Sus scrofa: one gene and its partners. Each later gene encodes a partner of the first gene's protein in a complex. Links are inferred from orthologs where the notes say so. Each region holds a gene or a part of one and is shown in the gene's direction. Other genes may lie near its edges.

Evidence for each region.
Region 2: ACTL6B (region 1) and SMARCD2 share a complex: the UniProt entries of both Homo sapiens proteins name them as parts of the BAF complex. The link is inferred for Sus scrofa from reciprocal best matches to the Homo sapiens genes ACTL6B and SMARCD2.
Region 3: ACTL6B (region 1) and DPF1 share a complex: the UniProt entries of both Homo sapiens proteins name them as parts of the neuron-specific chromatin remodeling complex. The link is inferred for Sus scrofa from reciprocal best matches to the Homo sapiens genes ACTL6B and DPF1.

Annotation. Positions count from the first base shown.
Region 1 is NC_010445.4:8,566,072-8,569,816, reverse strand, and holds the start of ACTL6B (actin-like protein 6B), read left to right. Parts: upstream 1-1,042; 5' UTR 1,043-1,147; coding exon 1,148-1,172; intron 1,173-1,626; coding exon 1,627-1,703; intron 1,704-1,897; coding exon 1,898-2,063; intron 2,064-2,368; coding exon 2,369-2,469; intron 2,470-3,745. UniProt on the Homo sapiens protein: Involved in transcriptional activation and repression of select genes by chromatin remodeling (alteration of DNA-nucleosome topology).
Region 2 is NC_010454.4:15,090,496-15,094,240, forward strand, and holds the start of SMARCD2 (SWI/SNF-related matrix-associated actin-dependent regulator of chromatin subfamily D member 2), read left to right. Parts: upstream 1-1,430; 5' UTR 1,431-1,506; coding exon 1,507-1,722; intron 1,723-3,745. UniProt on the Homo sapiens protein: Involved in transcriptional activation and repression of select genes by chromatin remodeling (alteration of DNA-nucleosome topology).
Region 3 is NC_010448.4:47,141,393-47,144,625, reverse strand, and holds the end of DPF1 (zinc finger protein neuro-d4), read left to right. Parts: intron 1-609; coding exon 610-722; intron 723-1,243; coding exon 1,244-1,355; intron 1,356-1,503; coding exon 1,504-1,574; 3' UTR 1,575-2,620; downstream 2,621-3,233. UniProt on the Homo sapiens protein: May have an important role in developing neurons by participating in regulation of cell survival, possibly as a neurospecific transcription factor. Belongs to the neuron-specific chromatin remodeling complex (nBAF complex).

The DNA of each region.
Region 1 (3,745 bases):
ATTTAATCCCTAGCCTGGGAACTTCCTTTTGCCTCGGGGTGTGGTCCTAAAAAAAAAAAAACAAAACAAAAAACGAAAAATAACGGAGTTCCCGTCGTGGCGCAGTAGTTAACGAATCCGACTAGGAACCACGAGGTTGCGGGTTCGTCCCTGGCCCTGCTCAGTGGGTTAATGATCTGGCGTTGCCGTGAGCTGTGGTGTAGGTTGCAGACGCGGCTTGGATGCCACGTTGCTGTGGCTCTGGCGTAGGCCGATGGCTCCAGCTCCAATTAGACCCCTAGCCTGGGAACCTCCATACGCCGCGGGAGCGGCCCAAGGAATGGCAAAAAAAAAAAAAAAAGCAAACCCCGCCCACCCCCTCCCCCCCCCAAGTGGCCTCAGGCGATGCCCAGAAAAACCTAGGAGCCTCTGGTACAAAACCTGCTTGCTTGATAAATAGCTCCAGAAAGGAATAGATAAAGAGAGCGAAAAGGAAAGGAAGCAAAAGCTAGGTTAGCTGAGTGCCATGTATGAATACGTGTACATGTGTGTACACGTGTGTATGTATAAGGTGTAGGCACTAGGGGATGAGCAGGAAAAGAGGAGTCATCAGAAGGACAAGGGTGGAAAGAAACAGGGAGAAAATCGAGACACACCTGTTTCCTTACCTCTCCTCCTTCCCTACCCCACTTTCCTGGTGATTTCATTTAGTTCAGGGTATGGCAGAACCTTGCTCAGGAGCCTGAGAATGGACGAGTCTGCGAGACTATGGCGCCCTCTCCTCGACCCCATTTTAAAATAAGGAAGCAGAAGCCCTGTCGGTCACCATACAGAGTCCTGATCTCCGGATGGACAAGGTTTCCATCTCTTGCCTACTCCTGCTTCTTGCCTGCCTATCCCTTAGGGCGGGCCTCGAGGTCCTTGATCCCGTTAATTCCCTCCCTGACGCCTAATGTTGAGGTGTCTGGCCCTTTAAAGCAGCAGCCCCCGGTCGAGTTATTGTCTCCCCTCTCAGCCAATCGGCGGCGCCGTTGGGGGCGGGGGACCCGGCCTCCCGATAGGCCGCTCTGAGCCCCGCCCCTCCCGGGATTCCGGGAGCTGTCCGGCCACCTCGGTGCTGATCCCGCCGCCGCCGCCCACGGGCCGCGAGCAGCGCTGAGAGGGCACTATGAGCGGGGGCGTCTATGGCGGAGGTGAGCGAGCCTCGGGCTTCGGGCTCCCCAGCCCGGCGCGGCCTCACCCGAAGCCCAGCGCCCCGAACCCGCGCGATCCAAGCTCTGGACACTCTGGGGCCTGTCACTCGGCGCTACAGCGGGTCCAACCCGGGGTTTGGGTCCTGCACCGCTCCAACCTAAGACCCTTCCCAGACGCTCGCACGCACTCGGCCCAACCTCTCCATCATTCAACCCACCTCCACCCGGCCCCCAGCCTGGCAAGGAGAGTGGCCTGCACACGGGCCACGGGTCAAAAGGGACTTTGGAATCTTGACCCCCACTCCCAAGACCCCGAACTCCTGGCCGAGCTCCCACCTGCCCCGTCCGACGTTGAAGGTGGTGAGACTGTGGCTCTGCCCTGACCTCCTCTCGGAGCAATCCAAGGGGAGAGAGTTTGGGACAGGTCCCCTCACAGGTCTGTCTCTCCGCACAGATGAGGTGGGCGCGCTGGTCTTTGACATTGGCTCCTTCTCAGTCCGCGCTGGGTATGCTGGGGAGGACTGCCCCAAGGTGAGCCTTCCAGCCCCCTCCCCAAATCCTGCCCCCCACCCCCAGGCTTCTCAGTGATCTAGGGTCTCAAGGCCAAGAAAGAAGCTCTGCTGAGCTGGAATTTGGCAGTAAGCCCAGGGATGGGCTGAGAGCCCTGCCAAGGGCCTGGGTAGGTGCAAGAGATTGATTTTTCCTCTGTATTTGCCCCCCTCCAGGCTGACTTCCCCACCACTGTGGGGCTGCTGGCCGCAGAGGAGGGGGGTGGGCTGGAGTTGGAGGGGGAGAAAGAGAAGAAAGGGAAGATCTTTCACATTGATACCAACGCCCTCCACGTGCCTCGGGATGGAGCAGAAGTTATGTCCCCCCTCAAGAATGGCATGAGTAAGGGGCTCGCACCCACTGCCTCCTAACACAGACTGGGAGCCCACCCCCCCTCACCCCAGGGCACAGCACTCCACACCCAAGGAGTCTTCCTTGCAGCTGCCCAAGTCCCAGGGATGCCCTCACTACTTTGCACAGCTGCCTGGTTCCTAACCAGGGGCCACCAGATTCCTGGGGAGGGGGAATTTCTACGGGAGCTTGTCTCACCTCTCCTCCATTGGCCTTGGCCTCCCTCCTTCCTTTCCTTCCTGTCCCTGGACACCCGCCTGCCCACCTTCATCTCTCCCCTGGTCTCCTGGCCCCAGTCGAGGACTGGGAGTGCTTCCGTGCGATCCTGGATCACACCTACAGCAAACACGTCAAGTCCGAGCCAAACCTGCACCCAGTGCTCATGTCTGAGGCCCCGGTAAGTGCCTCATCCAGCCCCTAGTTTAGCTCTGGGTCCCACCATTTACCATTCACCTCTCTCATCAAGCCACTGCCATCAATCACTCCACTTCGCTTTTTGGACTTTCCTTCCTTTTTTTCTTTTTTTTATTTTTAGGACCACACCTGTGACATATGGAGGTTCCCAGGCTAGGGGTCCAATCGGAGCTGTAGCTGCTGGCCTATACGACAGCCACACCAATACAGGATCCAAGCCACGTGTGCAACCTACACCACAGCTCATGACAACGCCGGATCCTTAACCCACTGAGCGAGGCCTGGGGTTGAACCCCCATCCTCATGGATGCTAGTTGGGTTCATTAATAGCTGAGCCACAGGGGGAACTCCCTCAGAGTTTCCTTCCAACACCATCATCTTCAACTACTTTCTTTCCTCCCTGGTTTAATCTCCATGCCTCGCTCTTCCCGCCCCATCCACGTGCTTTTCCCCCAGCCAGACTCCTACACTGCCCCTCCACTGCCCCTCCTCCCAAGATCTTTTTTGAACTTTTAACTTAAAATTGTTGTCCATATTATATATACACATCAATAGTCAATTTACAATAACACAACATTGTAAATGAACTATACTTCAATTTTTGGGTTTTTTGGGGTTTTTTTGGTTGGTTGGTTGGGTGGTTTTTTTTTTTTGTTTTTTTTTTTTTTTGTTTTTTTTTTTTTGCTTTATAGGGCTGTACCCATGGTATATGGAGGTTCCCAGGCTAGGGGTCTAATAGGAACTATAGCTGCCGGCCTACACCACAGCCACAGCAAGGCCAGATCTGAGCTGGGTCTGCAACCTACAGCACATTTCCTGGCAACACCAGATCCTTAACCCACTGAGCGAGGCTAGGGATCGAACCTGCAACCTCATGGTTCCTAATTGGATTCGTTTCCACTGTGCCACATCAGGAACTCCTATACGTCAATTTTTAAGTAAAAAATAAAGTGAAAGTGATAATCAATTTGCTTTAGAAAATATGTTAAGGGAAAAACTGGCATTCATACCCTCTTTCTTCTCTTCACCCTTTTCCAGAGGCAGTTGCTTTTCTCTTAGCTTTTTTTTTTTCCCATTACCTTTCATATCTCTGATTATCACACTTGAATTGAATTGCTGATCATGATTTTTATTTATTTATTTATTTATTTTTAGGGCTGCACCTGAGGCATATGGAAGTTCCCAGACAAGGGGCCAAATCAGAGCTATAGCTGCCAGCCTACACCACAGCCACAGCAAGGCTGGATCTGAGCCTTATC
Region 2 (3,745 bases), on another chromosome or scaffold:
GGCCCTGGTTCAATGACTGGAACAATTCTAGTGGTCTTCTCAGACTGACAGGTAACCCACTTTTAGGGAGAAAGAGGAGAGGGATCCCTGAGAAGACCAAGAGGCAGGAAAGCAGCAGCAAAAGCAGGGTTTATCACTGGAGGAAAGATACCAGGAAGTACAGATGAGCAAAACTGACTAAAAATGGTTGCTCTATAAATGTGGAACGCTGTGGGGCAAGTCTTGGTTGGGGATGAAAACAAAGGAGAGGATTTGTATGGTAAAAAAGTCTATCTTGGATACTTAAAAAGTGTAGTCTGAGTAACAACAGCATTGCTCAGGAGCTTGTTAGGAATGCAGAATCTTGAGCCTACCCTAGAACCCAGGCCTACTGAAACTTAATCTGCATTTTTAACAAAAGCCTCAGATGTTTCTTATGCTCCTTAAAGAAGCACTGGTCTGTATCATGGGGAAAAAAAATCCCAGAATGTCAGAGGGGCTCCCTGGCACAGCTGAAGCAGCTTTATTTTGCATACCTGCTAACACAGATCTGATTTCCGAAAAGGTATTAAGTTTTTGAATAGTGCTTTAAATCCTGGAGAAAGACCTTATTTAACTTAGGGGTTTCTCATAATGCAAACTTCCTTCTCCTAGAAACATTTCCTCTGGAGTAAAGTATTAGAATTCCTTAAAGTGAGGCAGAGGCACGTTCGAAATATGCGATAAAAACTTGGCGCTTGGCCAAGTCCACTCTTCGCACAGCTGCATAGGGTCTGGAGCAGCCAAGTCTCTTGACAGCTCTGAGCCACTAGGATGGGCTTTTAGAGTCACGCTGGCGGCTGTTCTGCCGCAGAAAGCAGCTTTAAGTTGTCTGTAATGTTAAAACGTAGAAAGGAGCTCTGACAACTATTTTCAGGGACCGAGGCTGGGTACCTCGGCGAACCAGCCGCAAGGGGGGAAGAGAGCAGCAACTACCCGTTTACTACAGTAGTGCTAGTGACCTTCGACCTCTGACCTTCTGCATTTCTTGAGTTGCTTCCGCCCCCTCCCCTCCAGTGGAGGGCCGGCCCAAGGGTATGGGCGGGGCTCCGGGGACCGGCGGTTAGAGGCGGTGCCTGTAGGGGGGCGGGTCTCGCGAGGGCGGTATTTGAGGGGGCATCCTCGCATTGGCCAGCTGGGTATAGGCGGGGCCTAGCGCTGGGCTGGGTTAGGCGGGGGAGGGAGTTAACTGCAGCTTCTGGGTAACTGGACGCTGGCGTTGAAACCTCCAGAGACCGGCGAAGGCTAGCGGGCCCGTAGCGGATCCCGGATCCGGAATTTCCCGGGCAGGACCGGAATCAAGACCGGCCCGGCCCCAAACTGGGTTTGTGAGGAACTCGCGAACTTGGATTAGGAAATCCCGGAACCCGGATCAACAAACCCCAGAACCCGGAATTTAGATCGGAAAGTCCCGGACCGCGGAGCGCGGAGCGAACTCAGCGCGGAGCCCGGAGCCCGGATTGAGACACCGCGGGACGGGACGGAGCGATGTCGGGCCGTGGCGCGGGCGGGTTCCCGTTGCCCCCGCTGAGCCCTGGCGGCGGCGCGGTTGCCGCGGCCCTGGGAGCACCGCCTCCGCCAGCGGGACCCGGCATGCTGCCCGGACCGGCGCTAAGGGGGCCGGGGCCGGCTGGAGGCGTGGGGGGCCCGGGGGCCGCCGCCTTCCGCCCCATGGGCCCCGCGGGCCCCGCAGCACAGTACCAGGTGAGGAGGGCTGAGGGGCGGGCGGCGCCGCGAGCACACTCGGGTAGGGGGCGAAAGAGGCCTCGAGTGAGGGTCCTGGAGCAGCCTTCCTGACAGAGGGCACAGGGGCTCTGCATGCGGAGTTCACGGGGCACTGTGCGGGGCAAAGCCAGGGACTCTGGGGCTCGGCTAGGTGGTTGCGGAGGAGTTAGGGGAGAAGGTAAGAGCGACTCTCGGGTGAAGGGTTTGAAGCTGTTGGGAGGGTGTGAGGTCTTGGAACAGGGGTTCTGAGTAACTGAGAGATGGAGGAGTTGTTGGAGCTAGTGAATTGTAGGCGGGTGGCTTGAGAAGTCTAGTGTAGATTCTCCGCAATGGGGTCCTGGGAAGTGATGAGAAAGTTTTGGAAAAGGGCCCTCACTGAGAAACCAGGGTTACCCTACATTGGTCTTGGTCCTACTCCAAGGCTGCTCTTTTTTCTCTAGTTGGGAACTGGCAGAGTTTTAGCGTGTCTGAGATGGCTCCCAGCTGCTGAGGAGGAAGAAGGGCCTGGCTTCCCACCGACAGGAGGTGGAGGATAGGACCAGCGATTCCAGCCTGTGCAGGGGGAGTCTACTCCTGGGTCATGCGCAGGGGCCTTCACACAGGGGTGACTCTGGGTTAGACCAGAGAGGGTGGTGGCTAGGCCTGAGAAAGGAGGGAAACCCAGCCCATTCTGGACAGACTCTCTTTGGCTTTCTGCCTGGTGTCACAGTGTCCAGGAGTTGATTAGTCTGGGGGAGCATAGAGGCTCCAGTGAGCCTTGCTGGTCTGGGGCTGGAGGAGCCTGTGAGAGTTGCTTCAAAGGGTTCTGTCCTTACCTCTTTGGTGCTTGGCTTTGCAGAGGGCTTCTTGGGTTGCAGCTTCAAAGGCCATGGAGATGCAGAGACTCCATTCTTGGGGTCAGTGTGTGAGGAACTCAGCCTGACCCTGGGGTTGGGGCTTACCAGCCCCCAAGTTCATTGTTTCTGGTTGCCCCAGAATGCTTAGGAATTGTGCCCATTCTTTTCCTACCCTCTGTCCACTTTTTTTTTTTTTGTCTTTTGTCTTTTTAGGCCTGCACCCGCGGCATATGGAGGTTCCCAGGCTAGGGGTCGAAGCAGAGCTGCAGCTGCCAGCCTACATCAGAGCCGCAGCAACGCCAGATCCGAACCATGTCTGCCACCTACACCACAACTCATGGCAATGCCAGATCCTTAACCCACTGAGTGAGGCCAGGGATTGAACCTGCAACCTCATGGTTCCTACTCGGATTCGCTTCCAGTGCACCACAACGGGAACTCCATCCCCACTTTTAATTAGCCTTTTAGGTTCTCACAACGCCATCTGTATCCCAATCCATGTATCCCAGCACTTGACACTGGCTTCTTGCTAATCTCTCAGGGAAGCTAGGAGATTCTCGTGTCTCCAGTAGAGGTCCCCCAAATGGATCCTCATAGAGTAGGGTACACATCCTCCCAGGACCCCTGGGCCTTCACTTTGTAAAGAGATGCTTAACTGGGGACAGTGATTTTTCCCTCTAACTTCTCATTCTCCCTCCACCCTCTAAAGAAAACCTAGGGCCTGGGTATTGATAGAGACAGACCTGGTCCCAGCGGCTCCAGCTGGGATTCATCTTTCCCATCTTGCTCTCCCCCTTGGCCCAAGGTGTCACGGAGGGGTCCCTGCATCTGTCATTCTGGCCCTTGGGCCAGTTAGCTGAGGTGCCTCCCTTTGGGCTGTTGGCCTGGGAGGGATCTAAAGGGCAGATAGGAGCCCCTCCACTTTTCCTCAACCTGCAGCCCATGGGGAATGTGGCCTGGGGAAAACCCCTGAGCAGGTGGCCTCGGGCAAGTGGCAGGGCTGAGCTGGCTGGCTGGGTAGCCCAGGCTACCAGGAGCAAGACCTTGAGGAAGGCACTGAGCCTCTGCTTGTGTGGGCTTCTCCCCATCTCCTGCTTCTCTTCCAGGGACCAGAGGGGCAGTAAAGGTAGATGGGGGGAAGGAGGAGGCAGCTCATCTTGAGTGCA
Region 3 (3,233 bases), on another chromosome or scaffold:
TGACAATTGGGTGTAGTGGAAGGTAGTTGTCGTGGCCCCGGGTAGCGGCTGGGTGTCTGCACGGGGGTGGGGGGATGGCCAGGGGGTTGGCCCACTGCATAGTCACGTGGGTAACGGTGTGGTGGTTGGGGCATCATGTGTAATGGGCTTGGGTCGCAGGGAACCAGAGCGTGGAGACCCCTCTGTGGAAGGCGGTTGCCATGGCATCGTGGCTGGGAGGCTGGGGTTGCCACGTGCCCGCGGTTCACAGGGCGGGCTGGCCATCCTGCTGTGGGTAATGGAATGCAGCTGCTCAGCGCAGTGGTTAACAGAATGTGGCTGCCCCGGTGTTGTGGGTGGTGGAAAGGGGTTGCCACAGCACTGTGGGTAATGGAATGCGGTTGCCATGGTGTTCTGGGGAGCAGAGTGTGGTTGCCATGGTGGCTGGGTAGGAGACTGGTGGCCACGGCAGCACTGCCTGAGGGACGGGCACTGGGCACCGGGGCTGGGTGGGGTCAGCCTGTGGGCCTTGTGAGCCAGGGGTAGGGGCTGAGCCATTTCACTTCCAGGGGTCAGTAGCCACCAGGGGCACAACGACCCCTAACCGCATCTCTGCCCCTCGGCCCCCAGGACACCCCTCGTGTTTACAGTTCACGGTGAACATGACGGCGGCCGTGCGAACCTACCGTTGGCAGTGCATCGAGTGCAAGTCCTGCAGCCTGTGTGGCACCTCCGAGAACGACGTGAGTGCCCACCCCCCTCCCCGGGACACGCCCCCGGAGCCGCCTCCCTCCAGCACCTCCGGCTTTGCCAGTTGGGTCTAAAGCCTTTCCTGAAGCCCCCTCCCTGGTGAACCCAGTAACCTGTACCATGATTATTAGTTAGTGTCCATTAGTTGAGCCTGGCACTTACTACTCTTCACTCTCCGACTCCTCCCAACCACCCTGAGGTAGAGGGAGGGAGCTCAGAGAGGGGAGCAGACTTGCCCAAGGTCACCCGGCTAAGAAGATGGCACAGCTGGGACCTGACACCGCATCCATTGCTTCTGACCGCCCCAGTGTCATTTTCAGTGTGCCATAGAACCTTAGAAAACCCAAACGACAAACCGCAAACTGACAGTCCTCAGGGGCGTTTCACTCACAGGGTTTTGCCAAGATGACCTCCTCAGAGCCCTCTGTCCTGGAAGGGACCACCTCCCCCAGCCCCTTTGACCTGTCCCCTGCCCCAGCCCCCCCACCCCGGTTTCTGGTACCCGTGCCCCCAGGGTGCCAGCTGGGCGGGTCTCACCCCCCAGGACCAGCTGCTGTTTTGTGACGACTGTGATCGGGGTTACCACATGTACTGCCTGAGTCCCCCCATGGCGGAGCCCCCAGAAGGTGAGCGAAGAGGAGGCCTGGGGGGGTGGGGGAGGGTTGGCAGGTGGACTTCCTGCTGGGGAAGATGGTGCCCGCCGGTGGTGGGCGGGGGTGGGGGCAGCCGTGCCCAGACCCAGGTCTTACTCCCTGTCCTCGGGCCACCCTACAGGGAGCTGGAGTTGTCACCTCTGTCTTCGGCACCTGAAAGAGAAGGCCTCTGCCTACATCACCCTCACCTAGGCCTGCTCTGGCTCACCTGGACCTCTGGGGTGGTGCTTGCCTACCTGAGTCTCCTCCCGGAGCTCCTCCACTCTCTCCCCATCCTTAATGCCCCACAGCGGGAGGGGCGGGCGAGCCTGAGGGGGGCGGGGCCACCCCCTCCCCTCCGTGCAAGTGGAATGCTTGCCCTGTGGGTTGGTGGGCCCAGCTGGGCCCTCTCCTTCCTCCCTCCTTCCCCACCCCTTGGCAAATGGGCACCAGGGGCTTCTGCTCCCCTCAAAGCCATACCCCGCCTCTGGGCGGGCACGAGGGGTGGTGGATGCCAGCTGGGGGCACGGACATAGCCTTTTTCTAAAGAAAAAGTCAAAAAGTTAAAAAAAAAAAAGAAATTAATATATACAAAGAGTCCTATAAGGCCTGGCTGGGTGGAGGGGGGTTGCCGAGCGCATCTCCTGGGCACCAGTCTATGCCAGCTTCCTGCCTGGCGGCCCCTCCCTCCCAGTCTGCGGCACTGCAGCTGTCCCACCTCCCCACCCAAGGTGGGCACCATTCCCTCCTTGTACGCAGGGCAGGTGGTGTGGTGTTGGCCCCCCACCCCCTTGGTGCCCACCGTGGATACTGCATGATGTGAACCATGGTTTTGAGCTCTGTTCCCGCTCCCTCCCCAGAGCCCGGCCCGTGCCCACTCCGTGCTGCCATGGCTGGCCGCCGGTGGGGCAAGGCGGGCCCCTGCCCAGCGCCTGCTGGAACGAGAAGCACAGACTCTGCAAAGGACTAGATTTTTCCCCGCCCCAATTCCCTACCGGCCAGGCCGGGCCGCCCCCTGCCACCCTCGCTGGCCATTTTCGGGGTCTCGAGGGGGCGTGGTTGTTTCTTGTGGTTGTGTTTGTTGTTTGGGTTTTAAAAAAAAGGGAAAATGAGACTGCAAGTGGGGGAGGTGATGGGTTTGGGGGGGTCTCCTCCAATCCAGGCGTGCCCCCTCCTTGTAAACGAGTCTCCTTTATTGCCTGCCTCTGCTGTGAATTAACTTGTTCTGTGTATTAAACTGGGCCTGACCCCTCTGCCCACGTCTGCCTCGTCCTCCAGGCCGGTTTGGGGCGTCACCAAAACTGGAGGTGGGGCCTCACTGGGGGAGAAGCAACTGAGGTTAACAGCTGGAGCTGGCCCCTACCTCTGGCTCCCCTCTGCACCCCGCCTTTCTCTGGCTTTGTCCCGCTCCTCCCTGCCTGGTCGGAAAGGAAAAGAGGGGGGGATGGGGTGGAGGGGGCTCCCACCCAGCCAGCTGTGGTTGCCCTGGCAACGGACTGCTGCAGCTGCAGTGGGAAGCAGCGAGGAGGGAGGCGGGAAGCCGGGGACTGGGGGAAGGGAAGGGATGGAAAGATGAAGACTGAGCCCGGCCCCGCTCCTCCCCTCCTGGGGCTTGGCACAGGGCAGGGGTGCCAGGAGCGCCACGGCCTCGGCCCACTCATGGCCTGGCGCCCCTGAGCCTGACGTGTGGCAAAGAGGAGAGGGGAAGGGGCAAAGGAGAGAAAGACAGATCCAGGGACATTAGGAGAAAAAAAGATTTGGGTGAGGTGGGGTGAGGAGTGAGAACCAGGACACAGAGCGGTCAGGAGAGACAGATGTGAGAGTCACACGTTTACAGAGAATCAGGAAAAGAGCAGGGCAGGGAAGAAATAG